3 linked regions of the Ovis aries genome follow. The main gene of each other region encodes a partner of the protein of the gene in region 2 in a complex. Links are inferred from orthologs where the notes say so. Each region holds a gene or a part of one and is shown on either strand. Other genes may lie near its edges.

Region 1 (4,138 bases), on a different chromosome or scaffold from region 2:
TGAAAGACAAAAAATGTTGATACCAAACCTAAGTGTTCTCAATTCAGTCACCAACGTCCATTCAACAAGTATTAACAGAGCTTAGAAAAAGGAAGTTAAAGAAGAGAGTGATTGGGACGGTGGAGGAGTAGGACATGGAGCTCACTCCTCCCACAAACACATCAAAAACATATCTAGACATGGAATGATTCTCACAGAACATCTACTGAAACATGGCAGAAGAACTCAGGCTTCAGAAAGGACAAGAAAATCTTCATGTAACAACAAAAAAAACCAGAAAGGAATCAGGACGGGGCCTGCACCCCAGGGAGAAAGAGCTATGAAGGAATAAAGGTTCCCATACCCTGACTGTCCCCTCACAGGAAGGCAGGGAGACCAGCAGGGACAGAGGGTGAGCTGTGGAGCCTTGGAGGAGAGTGCAGTTAAGCAGTTTACAGAAGGCAGAATGAAGACAGCCCTGCACAGACTGGTGATGCCACTTTCCCCACACTCCCAGCCTCAGACACACGTCCAACCGTGTAGGCAGAAGCTGTGAGCTGATGCTCAAGCTTCAGAAATCAGACCTAAAGAGAGGACTGGAGGAGGCCGCCAGAAATCGCCTTAAGATGCTAGGGGTTTGAGATTAGCAGATGGAAACCATTACATATAGAGTGAATAAACAACAAGGTCCTACTGCATAGCACAGGGAACTATATTCAATATCCTGAGATAAACCGGGATAGAAAAGAATACTTAAATAAGAATACTTATATATGTATAACTCAATCACTTTGCTGTAAGGCATAAATTAACAGTGCAACACTGTAAAACCACTATAGTTTAATTAAAAAATACAGTTGAGAAATCCTCCTCCATAAAGAGCATAAAACTGAATATAATACTCACGGAAAAAATAAAGTACACAGAACAGACAAAGGAGAGGTTACCAGGATAAGGGAAGGAGGCAGCATTGGTGCTGGGCACTAGAGGAAGAAAAGGCTTCAACAAGTGAGAAGAACACAGAGTCCAAGGAGATGACCCAACCTCACCAAAGCCTGGGAGTTGGGAACGAATGGGACACACCTGGGCACCCACTCAGGGCAGATAAGTGGCTCTACAGTGGGTTGAGCGACACTTGAAAGGCTTTGGACAGCACATGAGAAATGTCAACCTCATTCTGTAAGCAGTGAGACCCTGTGGAGTACATGTGTTCTGAAGAGACCAGTGCATTAAATTCAGCTGGGAGTAGGGTGGAAGATAAATGTATTCCTTGAAAACTAAAGGTCATTTAAAGGTGTTAGCAGCAGAAGTGAGGGAATAAGGGAGGGACACACAAACACTTCAAAGGCAAAAATGGTTTTTAGACTAGACGACAATACCACTAAAAGAAATGGACATGCTGGGATATGCAGATCTGAGAAGAAAGATGCAGAAGTGTTATTTCATAGGAAGACCAGCATCCTCGCTGATTTTGAGATCACAATGCTATTTAAATACGAGGAGGACCCAACTCCAATGAAAAAATAGTGATGTACCAATCTCTCCTTTTAATAAAACCAATTAGCTTCTCCAGTAGAAAGCCAAGGCTTATATAACTACTAATTCCTGGGAAGTTTCAGAAATGGTAGCTTCCTACTCACCAGCTCTATAGAAACTGTAAGGCAGGGAAAGTGTTTATTAGTCAGCTTAACTTTCAAAGCTCTGGCATTCTGGGCAGTTTTCAAGGCTCGAGATAAATTTTCCGATGTGAGCTCTAAATAAATCTCATTGTTTTCTGCGGAGACACCTTCCATTTGAAATTCGCTGAAGAAGTTCTCCTAAGGGAAAGAAAAGGAGGAGGGACATTTGCGCGCTTTCCATTGGAATTCGGCGAGGGTGGGGGAAGAGGGGTGGGCTGCAGGCCTCTCAGGAGCCTCCACTCACCTGTTCCAGCTCACACCACATGCTCACCCCTCCATTGGCCACTTTGTCAGAGAGGACGAAGTTCAACTTATCCGGGCTGATGCGCAGAGTGCAGGTTTTGGCAAGCTTGGCTATCATGTTACTAACGCCTATAGCAAAAGGTTTCAGTAAAGAGTTGACTGAGAGGTACGTTAGGTATCCAAAACACCAATTTAGCGCAGAATTACCAGTTGCGCACAGTGAGCTTCCCAGCGGGAAAGTCAACGTTTCCACTCCTACCTACCGGGAGGCTTTTATTGCCGCTGGGGTCAAGCTGGCCTCCCAACAACCTGGAATAAGGAAACTGAGACTCGGAGGTTAACTGGCGCCTACTGGCCGCTTTCTTCCCTTTCACGTCCACTCGGGGCCGCCGAGTGCTGCAGGGATCAAGGCAAGGACAGACACGGCTGGGGCAGGGGGACCACGGAGCCTGGCTGTGAAGGGCGGCCTGCGCCAGATAAAGTGGTCCATGAAGCCACTGGCCGAGTTAAGAAAAGCCACGCGAAAGGAATCAAAGCTCATAAACAACCTTCAGCACCTGCGCCCGCGTCAAGCTGCTGCTGGCCAGCCTGTGCAGCGCGCCAGCCTCTTCGCGGGGACCGGCCGCACGCACCGCTCCGTGCAAGCCTCCCGCCTTGCCCTCTGCAGTCCTCCCCGACCCCAGGGTTGACGCGGCCCCTACTCACGCGTGAAGTGGTTTAGACAGGCGGTATCCACGATCTTGGCCCGAAACTTCATGGCTGGACATGGCAAGCGCCAGGAGCCCGTCCGCACCGGACTCGTGAGAGTCCCGCCTTAACTAGCCCGCGGGAAACGCCACCGCAGTACTGGGTTCAGCCCACTTGGGCCTGAGACGCGCCTGCGGAGAGTAGGCGGGCTTTTCCGCTGGCGCACTCGGGATGACGGGAACTCTGCCGGAAGTGACGCGATTCTGGTACCGGAAGTGCCTCTGAGTTTTTACAGGTTGAGCTTTGTGTTAACTTATTTCCAATTCTGTTTTAGAACATAGGAAATAAAATCAGTCTTGCTAGGTAGTTAGAATAGGAAAAAGGAGTCCAGAATGGCGGTGGCTAAAAAACAAGGAAGGGAAAAGCCCGCGAAAATAGAACAAAGGAAGGTTCAAGGACCAGAGTGAGGACTTCAGGTAGAAAAAACAGCACTCCTGGCTAGCCCAATTTAAATAGGGAAGTTCCCAGGGGAAGGAAAATACCTATAAACAGAGGAGCCAAAGGGCCGGGGGTCTCCCAAGCGCGCGTGCTTGCTCTTTCTTCTCTTAGCGTCTTTTGGGTCGTCATGCCCTCATGCCTTGAGGATATATTTCCTTTTATTTTCTAAATAAAACTGAGCTGTAACACTGATCTGTCCAAGAGCTATAACATGGTCTAGCTGAGAGCTATAACACAGTCTGAGAGCTGTGGCACGCTTTAACGTCCGTCGCTGCAAATTTTTGTTGTGACAAGACGGAACCGAGGAGATAACACTCCCCTGACAAGTCTCTTATTTATAAAGTGTTAAGCTATTCCTTAAATACACACCGCTCTGTGGTAGGGGAGCTTTAGAACCTTTCATGGCTCAGACATTCACACTGGTACCTCAGCACTGTAGCACCACGTTGGATTATGCTTTGAAATTTGTTTTAACAAACAGTGCTAAACACTGGATGTTGTAAACAACACTGTTGACTAAAAAAAGATGTAAAACTTGAGAGTTGTGAATTTTATTTGGGGCAAAATGAGGACTGCAGCCCTGGAGGCTGCAGATAGCTCTCCCATCTCAGATAGTTCTGAGAGACTACTCCAAAGCGGCAGTGGCAGAGAGTCAATATATAAGGTTTTGGTGAAGGGGGAGTTCAATACCATGAAACACTCATTTTACAAAAGGTTTTTTGTTCGTCACGAGGATCTGATATCTCTAGATACGAGGAGCTACAAGGATTGAGACCGTAAAATCTGTTCCTAAAAACATCCAGCTATTTAAAGACCTGTCCCACCAGACTCCTTGGAACACAAGAGTGCCTCACTCCACCCTAAACTCCCTCAGAGGTTGTTGAAGGTCAACAGCTTTAGCAGCATGGGGTTCAATCTCCGTAGAGGCAGATGGCAAACGCCTTTGTTGTTCAGTCCTTGGCAATGCTGTTGGTAAGTGCCAATTTGTAGTTGACAACACTGATAGTAATTCTGCAGTTTTTATTCAAGACGAACTTCACCAGAGCCTGTTA
Region 2 (3,544 bases):
CTGGCAGCCCCCATCTGGGTTAGAGCAGGGCTGGCAGCCAGCTCCTGCTGAACTAACCGCCTCCACCCTCGTCCAGGTAGTAGAAGACGGCTACGAGTTCTTTGCCAAGCGGCAGCTGGTGACACTCTTCTCAGCCCCCAACTACTGCGGCGAGTTTGACAATGCAGGTGCCATGATGAGCGTGGACGAGACGCTCATGTGCTCCTTCCAGGTGGGGGTCGGGCCGGGGGCAGGCAGGCCCAGGGACTTACGGCTTGACCCCTTAAGCCTGACCAGTTTTTCTCTTCTAGATCCTCAAGCCCGCCGACAAGAACAAGGGGAAATATGGGCAGTTCAGTGGCCTGAACCCTGGAGGCCGGCCCATCACCCCACCCCGCAACTCCGCCAAAGCCAAGAAATAGCCTCCGTGTGCCCGCCCTCTGCCCCAGATGGTGGATTGTACAGAAATCATGTGGCTACAGGGGGCTCGTGCTGGCCCCCCAGGCCCACCCATCACGGGGAACATGGAGGCTTGGTGTATTTTTCTCTTTTTTTTTTATGAATCAATAGCAGCATCCAGTCCCCCAGGGGTCTTCCCGCTTGTACCTACAGCGGCTGCAGGCAGGATCCTGGGGCTAAGGCTGCAGCTCAGGGCAAAGCAGGGCCAGATTGGGGATCTCCAGCCTTGCTTGGCCTCAGGGCTGGCAGCCGGATCCTGGGGCAACCCATCTGGTCTCTTGAATAAAGGTCAAAGCTGGATTCTTGCCATAGCCTGTCTCCCTTGTCCCAAACACTGGGCCTGGCAACTCTTCCGCCCAGAGCCACTTGGGAGGCTTGCTGGGCTTCGGGCCCCAGCCAGGAAAACCCCAGCCACGTGCCCAGGTCCGCAGGGGCTCTTGGAATTTCCAAGCCAGGGCCAGAGAGTTCAGGGAAAGCAAGCAGTGTGTGCCAGTCACAGGGGATCCCAGTGGTGTGCTCAGGATTTGAGGGAGGGACAGGTCATGATTGGCAGAAGGTGGATCAGCAGGGGCAGAAGCCCTACAATGATTTCTTTGTTTCTTAGGGAGGTGGGCTTAGAGAAGGCAGTCCTCCAGTTCTGGCCACAGAACTGGATTAAGAGGTGAGGGAACTCCCTGCAGAGGGCAGCTCAGCACCGAGACTGGGAACAGACATGATAGATTGAGGGTTGAATGAAAGATTTGAGGGTTGAAGGGAAACAACAAGACCCAGGCCAGTCAAGGCCCTGGGGGAGGTGGTGGGACCAGTCAGCTAAGCTCCAGCAGGGCGCATCTCTACCACCCACCAAGGAGGAGAGCGGACCTGCCGTGGCTGGCCTTGGGAGAGGGGTGGGGTGGGGCTTCATCGGGCCCCTTCTTGGCTCGGCTTAGCCTTCGCCCTCACTGTCCTCAGCCAGCACAGGGCTGGGGCCCTGGGGAGAGTGTGCAGGGGCCAGGATGGAGCCAAAGAACAGCGAGCGGAACTGGCGAGAGAACAGAGGAAGCCTGGTGAGTTTGGAGGCTGCTCCCGCCCTCCGCCTCTCATCCCAGCCTCTGCCTCCTGCTTAGTCGCTTGTGGTGTCTGACTTTGCAACCGCATGGACTGTAGCCCACCAGGCTTCTCTTTGTCCATGGGGATTCTCCAGGCCAGAATCCTGGAGTGGGTTGCCATGCCCTCCTCCAGGGGATCTTCCCCACCCAGGGAGTGAACCCAGGTCTCCCACGTGGCTGACAGAGTCTTTCCATCGGAGCCACCAGGGAAGCCCTTCCGCCTCTCGCCCCTACCTTCTTAGGTGGGGGAGTCCCAGGCACTGTGCTGGGCTCCATGTCGTCATCTTCCTCTGAGTGGGGGCTGGAGCTACAGGGGCGCTGGAGGCCAGGTGAAAGGGAGATGGAGGGCAGTGCCCGAGAGCCCTCACTGCCCATGGTGGTTTCCATGGCGATCATGTAAGAGTCCATGTCATCGACAGCAAAGTCATCCAGGTCTACGTGGGGCGTGCTACAGGCAGACACGGTATCAGCGGTGGGGACACAGTTAGGGCCCCCACCTGGAGGGCTCAGCCAGGGCCTGCAGGAGCCTAGTAACCATTAGTGACCTCTTGGTTTTATTACTTCCTGATTTGGTGGGAGGGGAAAGGATGGGGGGCGGTGTTTTAAGTGGCCCCTTCCGGGAGGGGGTCGACCCGAGAATTCTTTTATCAGAGTTCAGGTAGAGGCCTGAGGGAGGCATACTGGGGGCCGCTTCAGCTCGGCTGGGGGAGGGGAGCGGCAAGTCCAGTGAGCTGGGCCACCTGGGGCCCAAGCCCCCACATTCCCAGAGGACAGGAACTGGAGAGCGCTGGGGCCCAGGGACATGCTGGGCAGAGGGCCAGGCCAAACTTCCTCCACTTAAACTACGCTGGGCCCATCCTCCCCAACCCACCTGCCCTTTCAGCCACCTGCTTTCCCCATCCCAGGCAGCCCCCTGCCTCTCGGCAGCCCTTTTCCCTCCTTGGCTTGGGAGGAGGCCTCAGCCAGAGAAGGAAGCCAGCCCGACCTTGGGGACACTTCCCTGGGTTGGGGGATCTCTGAATACAGCTGACTGGTTAGGCTCAGCCTGCAGGGCTGGAAGCAGTGAGCACTGTAGGGGCTGGGGCTCAATAGGAAGTGGAGATGGGAGGCGCATGGGGTGGGGGCTGCAGACTAGAAGCGGGGGGCTGCAGACTAGAAGCGGCAGGCTGCAGCCTGGGTGCACAGGGTGAGAAGGGGGGTGGGCGGGCGGAGCTCTCACCTGTGAGCCTGAAGCTGGGGCTCTGGCCGCTGGAGCTCCTCTTGGGCATGCAGGGTCTGGGGGTGCGAGTCCAGCTCTGAGAGTGTGGCCAGGACAAAGTGGCCGTCCAGCAGAGAGTCCTCGATGGCAAAGATGGCTGGCCTGGGCAGGTGACAGGTCCAGGCGTGGTCAAGGCCCTTTGGCTTTTGGCACCCCAGAGCCCTCCCCTCCCTATCCCAAGGCTGGACCTTACCTGCCTGGGGCATCAAAGTGAATGCTGAGGGACAAGTTGGCTGACTCTGCAAAGCTCAGGAGCCCCTGGGAAGGGAGAAGCAGAGCATGGAGGCTGGGCAGGGAGGAGAGGTGGACGGGGCGGTGAGCGCACGGCAGGAACCTCACCCGGAATTCCTTGAGGCAGAAAGTGATGGCCACCCCTTCCTGGGCCTGCAACTGCTGGAAATCCTCCTCTCCGATGCTCATCTCTGTCACCATGGCTTTGATGGCGCTGTCTTGGGGGGCAGTGACAGGAGGAAGCTGGGCTCTGCCCCAGCCAGCCTGTCTCTGCTCTCTGCACCCTCCCCACCCAGTCTCTGCTCTCTGCCCCAAGCCCCATCGGTCCCCTCACCTGCCTCCTCCTCTTGGTAGCTACGCAGGATGACCCTGCGGCCACGGCCGATGCCCAGCGTCACTTCAGCCAGTGCAGGGGGGAAAGGCAGAACAGCCTCCACCAGGACCCTGTGAGGGGGCATAGTATCTCACCCGAGGCTCAGTCCTGCCCAGTGGCTTGCTCTCAGAGAACTGGAGGCGGGACAGCGAGGCA
Region 3 (3,563 bases), on a different chromosome or scaffold from region 2:
TTTTAGGACGTCCACGAACTTGCCCTGCACGCTTGCCTGACGGTCTTTTCCATCTCCCGCCCTTGACTGCCTGCCGCCGTCTTCTAACGTCTGTATCTCGTAATGAGATCCGCTGTCGGATCCAGTAAATCTTGTCCCCAATTTATTCGCAGTTTTACGGGCCCTACAGAACATCCTGTCAAAACTCATCGCATGTTGACTTTGCGGCGTTCGATTCGGAAGCTAGTGTGGCGTCCACGTTTTGAGTTTTTAAAACGCAGAAAATGTGGCACAAGCTAGGAGAGCCGAGGTCTGTGCTCGCCGGCCAGCCTCCACTCACTGTGTGACCCTAAACCCGGTTCATTATCTGTGCTTCAAATCCCCACATTGAAAATAATCCCTGCTTGTCTTGCTCTGGCTGGACCTGACAGACTACGTTCTGAAGGCTGAGGCAATGGAGTTAAATGAGAAGATACTTGTATGGGTGGGAGGAAAAGTAAGATATTTTCTTGACTGGACAGTCCCTCTGCATTAATTACAGTAAGAAGTAGTATTTGAAAAGATTACAGATTTATTTACATTTTAAACAGGACAAGAAATCATTTCCCCACCCTAGTTAATATTTACAGGTTATTTCAACTGGAAACAAAAAAATCAAAACATAGCAACCCTAGGTAACTTAATCATGTCCCCTTTATCTCCCCAGCAACCCCCCTTCACCGTATTTATTACATGCTTGCTGCTCTCTCTTCACTCTGCCCTCTCAGATGAGCCAAGACTGCAGGGACAGCAGCTCAACTAGGAAAAGTCACAGTCTGCTCCAAGTTTTTCCATGTACCGGGTCAAAAAGGAAGCAGTCACCGAGCTGGTCCTCAAACATGTGGACTGAATTACTTTGAATGAGGTGACTAAAAGAATGAATAGATAGTGGCTAAAGGGAACAATTAAGAATGACCATTTATGGGGGGAGGGGGAGGCAGTATTGCTGCATTAGTGTAGGTCAGAAGCAGGGTTCTCTAAAAACTCTGCAGCCATTTATTTACAGACATTCTAAACGGTTATATTTAAAATTTGTTAAACAGTTAATACACTAAAAATATGAAGTCAACTGTTTACGATACTAAAAACTGTTTATGACACAAGATATTTTAAAAAGCAAATCTGGGAATTCAATTCCCTTTTGACTCCAGTGATCAATTTCTTGAGACCACAGATGTCTGGGAAACCAGTCAGTCTTTCACGAGGAACTGGCTTCTGTTCAGCTTTCCCCTCTCCCTGAGGTACACGAAGAGGTGTCGTCGCCTCCTCCATGTGACCTTTATCCCGTACTTCTCCTCTGGGGTGTCTTTAACCAGAACAGGCCCAGGCTCTGGGCTCTTCGGCGTGCTCGAGTGAAGGGAACAGCTGGGAAGGCTGTTTTCCCTCAGTTCAGAGGGAATGGGCTCTCCCTGCCCCGGGGATCCTGGGGTCTGGATGTCCGGGGGAATGAATGCACATGGGAAGTCTGGAAATGTGTGTGCCGACAGCTCCCTGCAGCTCTGGGGGCTGAGCATGGGCACTAAGGGCCTTCCGGAAATGTCCTTTTCTGGTTGACTGGGGCCATCCCCGATTGCCGGGATCCTGGGTGTGGCTGAACTGGCAAAAGACTGTGGAGTCTCAAACGTTAGACATGGAAACCTGGAGCTGGTAGATTTTCGACTTGAACGCCTTGCATGGTCTCGAAGATGATGCTTCCGGTTGCCTGGGAACCAGCTTTCTGCTGTTGTATCAAACTGAGGTGATACCTAAGGATTCCAAAAGAAAGACATAAATGGGAAGCATGCTAACCTAAGGAAACTGCATCAGATGGCCAGAATCCTAAATAGAGGCCCACAACAGCAATGGACTTAAAACAGCTGCCTAGGGACTTCCCTGGTGGCACAGTGAATAAGAACCTGCCTGCCAACGCAGGGGACATGGGTTCGATCCCTGGTCTGAGAAGATCCCACATGCTGCAGGGCAACTAAATCCATGCACCACAACTACCAAGTCCAGCTCTAGAACCCAAGAGCCACAACTGCTGAAGTTTGAGCACCTAGAGCCCGTGCTCCACAACAAGAGAAGCCACCACAGTGAGAAGCCTGTGCATTACAATGAAGAGCAGCCCCTGCTGGCTGCAGCTAGAGAAAGCCCAGGTGTAGCGGCAAATACCCAGCACGGCCAAGAAAACAACAGCTCTCTGTCTTACTGGATAACCATAGGAAGGGATGCGGGCTTTGGGCAAGTTTCTCAGTCTCCCTGGCTTCATCACACCCTATGGCTGCAACACATTTAACCATCTCCCTTTCAGTTCTGAGGGTGGGCCCAGCTGTCTTCTTCACCACTGATGCCTAGCACCTAGCAGAGCGCCTGGCACCTAGAGGACCCCAGTGTAGGAAGAAAGGGCTGAAGGCAGACCAGTGAGTGAGATCAGGCAATGGAGAGCAGCGAGCAGAGCCTGGCGCATGGTGAGGACTCCGTACGCCTCTGTGTGCTCATGCCTCCTCCCACCAACAGCGCTCCAACATCTACGCTTCCTCCCCACTCCTGAAGCCAGGGGTCCAGTTCTCCCCAACAATCCTGGACCACATCTGTTAGGCGCTCTGGGGCAGAGCTCAGGCTTTTGTCTGGCTCTTCTGCTACACCACTTTCTGATATCCTGTAGCTGTGTTCTCTTCCTGGGGCTTCTAAACTGTCAAGACAGAACACATGCCATTTCTGAGAGTTTTTCTTCACTGTTTGGTCCATTAAACAGTAAACAGAAGGACTTTCCTGGCAGTCCATCATTTGGGACTCTCCATTTCCAATGCAGGAGGTGTGCATTCCAGCCCTGGTTGGGGAGTTAAGATCTCACAGGCCTTCTGGCCAAAAAGAACCAAAGCATAAAATAGAAAAAATGTTCTAACAAATTCAATAAAGACTTTTAAAATGGTCCACATTAAAAAAAAATCTTTAAAAAAAACCCCAAAACAGTAAATAGACTACTTAGCTAAAAATTCCACCTCTAACATGAAGCTCAGGAAACAATCTCATTTTTCATTCATTCTGCCATTTATCTGGCTTTCTCACCCGGCTTTTCTGGATACTTTTATACTGAACTCTTTCAGGGGCACTGGTGCGGAAAGACTCCAATTCCAGTCCACCCATGCCTGAGCCTGAACTTAGGCGAAAGGATACAGCAGAGAAGATGGCTGAGGACAGCGGGAGAGTGAACACTGCCTCCTTGTCGCTGAGTCCGTGAGGCTCCTAATTCTTTGGCAGCCCTGGTCACGGGGCAGAGTACGCACTCTTGAGAAGCCTGGCAGAGCAGAAATCAAGGCAGGAACCCTACCCAGGAAGTGATGGTGTTGTGGTCCACAGGCTTGCTGGGCACCTGTCTAGTGCGGGTGACCACGGGAGGCTGGGGAGATTGACCGCGGTGTTTGGGGCCCTCCAGTGGTTGTTGGTGGAATAGCAGCTGGGGTTTCTGAGCAGCTTGGCGGCGCTTTTTCCTGGGAGGCATCAACGGGTGAGAGAAGAGCAGTTAGCAACTGCATGATGCTGGCTGTCGGCAGGTCCGGGGAGAG

The links.
Region 1: the proteins of RAD9A (region 2) and HUS1 are in contact, whole or in part, in a crystal structure (PDB 3GGR), measured with the Homo sapiens proteins. The link is inferred for Ovis aries from reciprocal best matches to the Homo sapiens genes RAD9A and HUS1. Residues at the interface, in NP_004575.1 of Homo sapiens: Leu157, Pro158, Pro161, Val176, Ala186, Lys191, Ala192, Met193, Val194, Thr195, Glu196, Met197, Cys198, Leu199, Gly200, Asp203; in NP_004498.1 of Homo sapiens: Thr84, Asn87, Arg90, Ala91, Lys93, Thr94, Phe110, Ser121, Ser123, Ser126, Arg127, Ile128, Val129, Thr130, His131, Asp132, Ile133, Pro134, Ile135.
Region 3: the proteins of RAD9A (region 2) and RHNO1 are in contact, whole or in part, in a crystal structure (PDB 8WU8), measured with the Homo sapiens proteins. The link is inferred for Ovis aries from reciprocal best matches to the Homo sapiens genes RAD9A and RHNO1. Residues at the interface, in NP_004575.1 of Homo sapiens: Val41, Ser44, Arg45, Ser46, Ala47, Tyr48, Glu130, Leu132, Gln133, Ala134, Val135, Glu165, Tyr181, Glu183, Thr216, Phe217, Cys218, Gly244, Pro246, Val261, Leu262, Ala263, Thr264, Leu265, Ser266; in NP_001239428.1 of Homo sapiens: Thr88, Lys90, Phe91, Pro92, His93, Leu94, Thr95, Phe96, Glu97, Ser98.

What each region holds. Positions count from the first base shown.
Region 1 is NC_056057.1:76,188,201-76,192,338, reverse strand, and holds the start of HUS1 (checkpoint protein HUS1), read right to left. Parts: upstream 2,808-4,138; 5' UTR 2,659-2,807; coding exon 2,607-2,658; intron 2,298-2,606; exon of another isoform or gene 2,165-2,297; intron 2,031-2,164; coding exon 1,903-2,030; intron 1,797-1,902; coding exon 1,620-1,796; intron 1-1,619. UniProt on the Homo sapiens protein: Component of the 9-1-1 cell-cycle checkpoint response complex that plays a major role in DNA repair. The 9-1-1 complex is recruited to DNA lesion upon damage by the RAD17-replication factor C (RFC) clamp loader complex.
Region 2 is NC_056074.1:41,696,415-41,699,958, reverse strand, and holds the end of RAD9A (cell cycle checkpoint control protein RAD9A), read right to left. Parts: intron 3,460-3,544; coding exon 3,350-3,459; intron 3,234-3,349; coding exon 2,978-3,233; intron 2,887-2,977; coding exon 2,746-2,886; intron 1,975-2,745; coding exon 1,761-1,974; intron 1,460-1,760; coding exon 1,364-1,459; 3' UTR 518-1,363; downstream 1-517. Other genes in the region: PPP1CA (serine/threonine-protein phosphatase PP1-alpha catalytic subunit), read left to right, coding at 77-211, 291-401. UniProt on the Homo sapiens protein: Component of the 9-1-1 cell-cycle checkpoint response complex that plays a major role in DNA repair. The 9-1-1 complex is recruited to DNA lesion upon damage by the RAD17-replication factor C (RFC) clamp loader complex.
Region 3 is NC_056056.1:212,716,039-212,719,601, forward strand, and holds the end of RHNO1 (RAD9, HUS1, RAD1-interacting nuclear orphan protein 1), read right to left. Parts: 5' UTR 3,500-3,563; coding exon 3,329-3,499; intron 1,764-3,328; coding exon 1,209-1,763; 3' UTR 531-1,208; downstream 1-530. UniProt on the Homo sapiens protein: Involved in microhomology-mediated end-joining (MMEJ) DNA repair by promoting recruitment of polymerase theta (POLQ) to DNA damage sites during mitosis.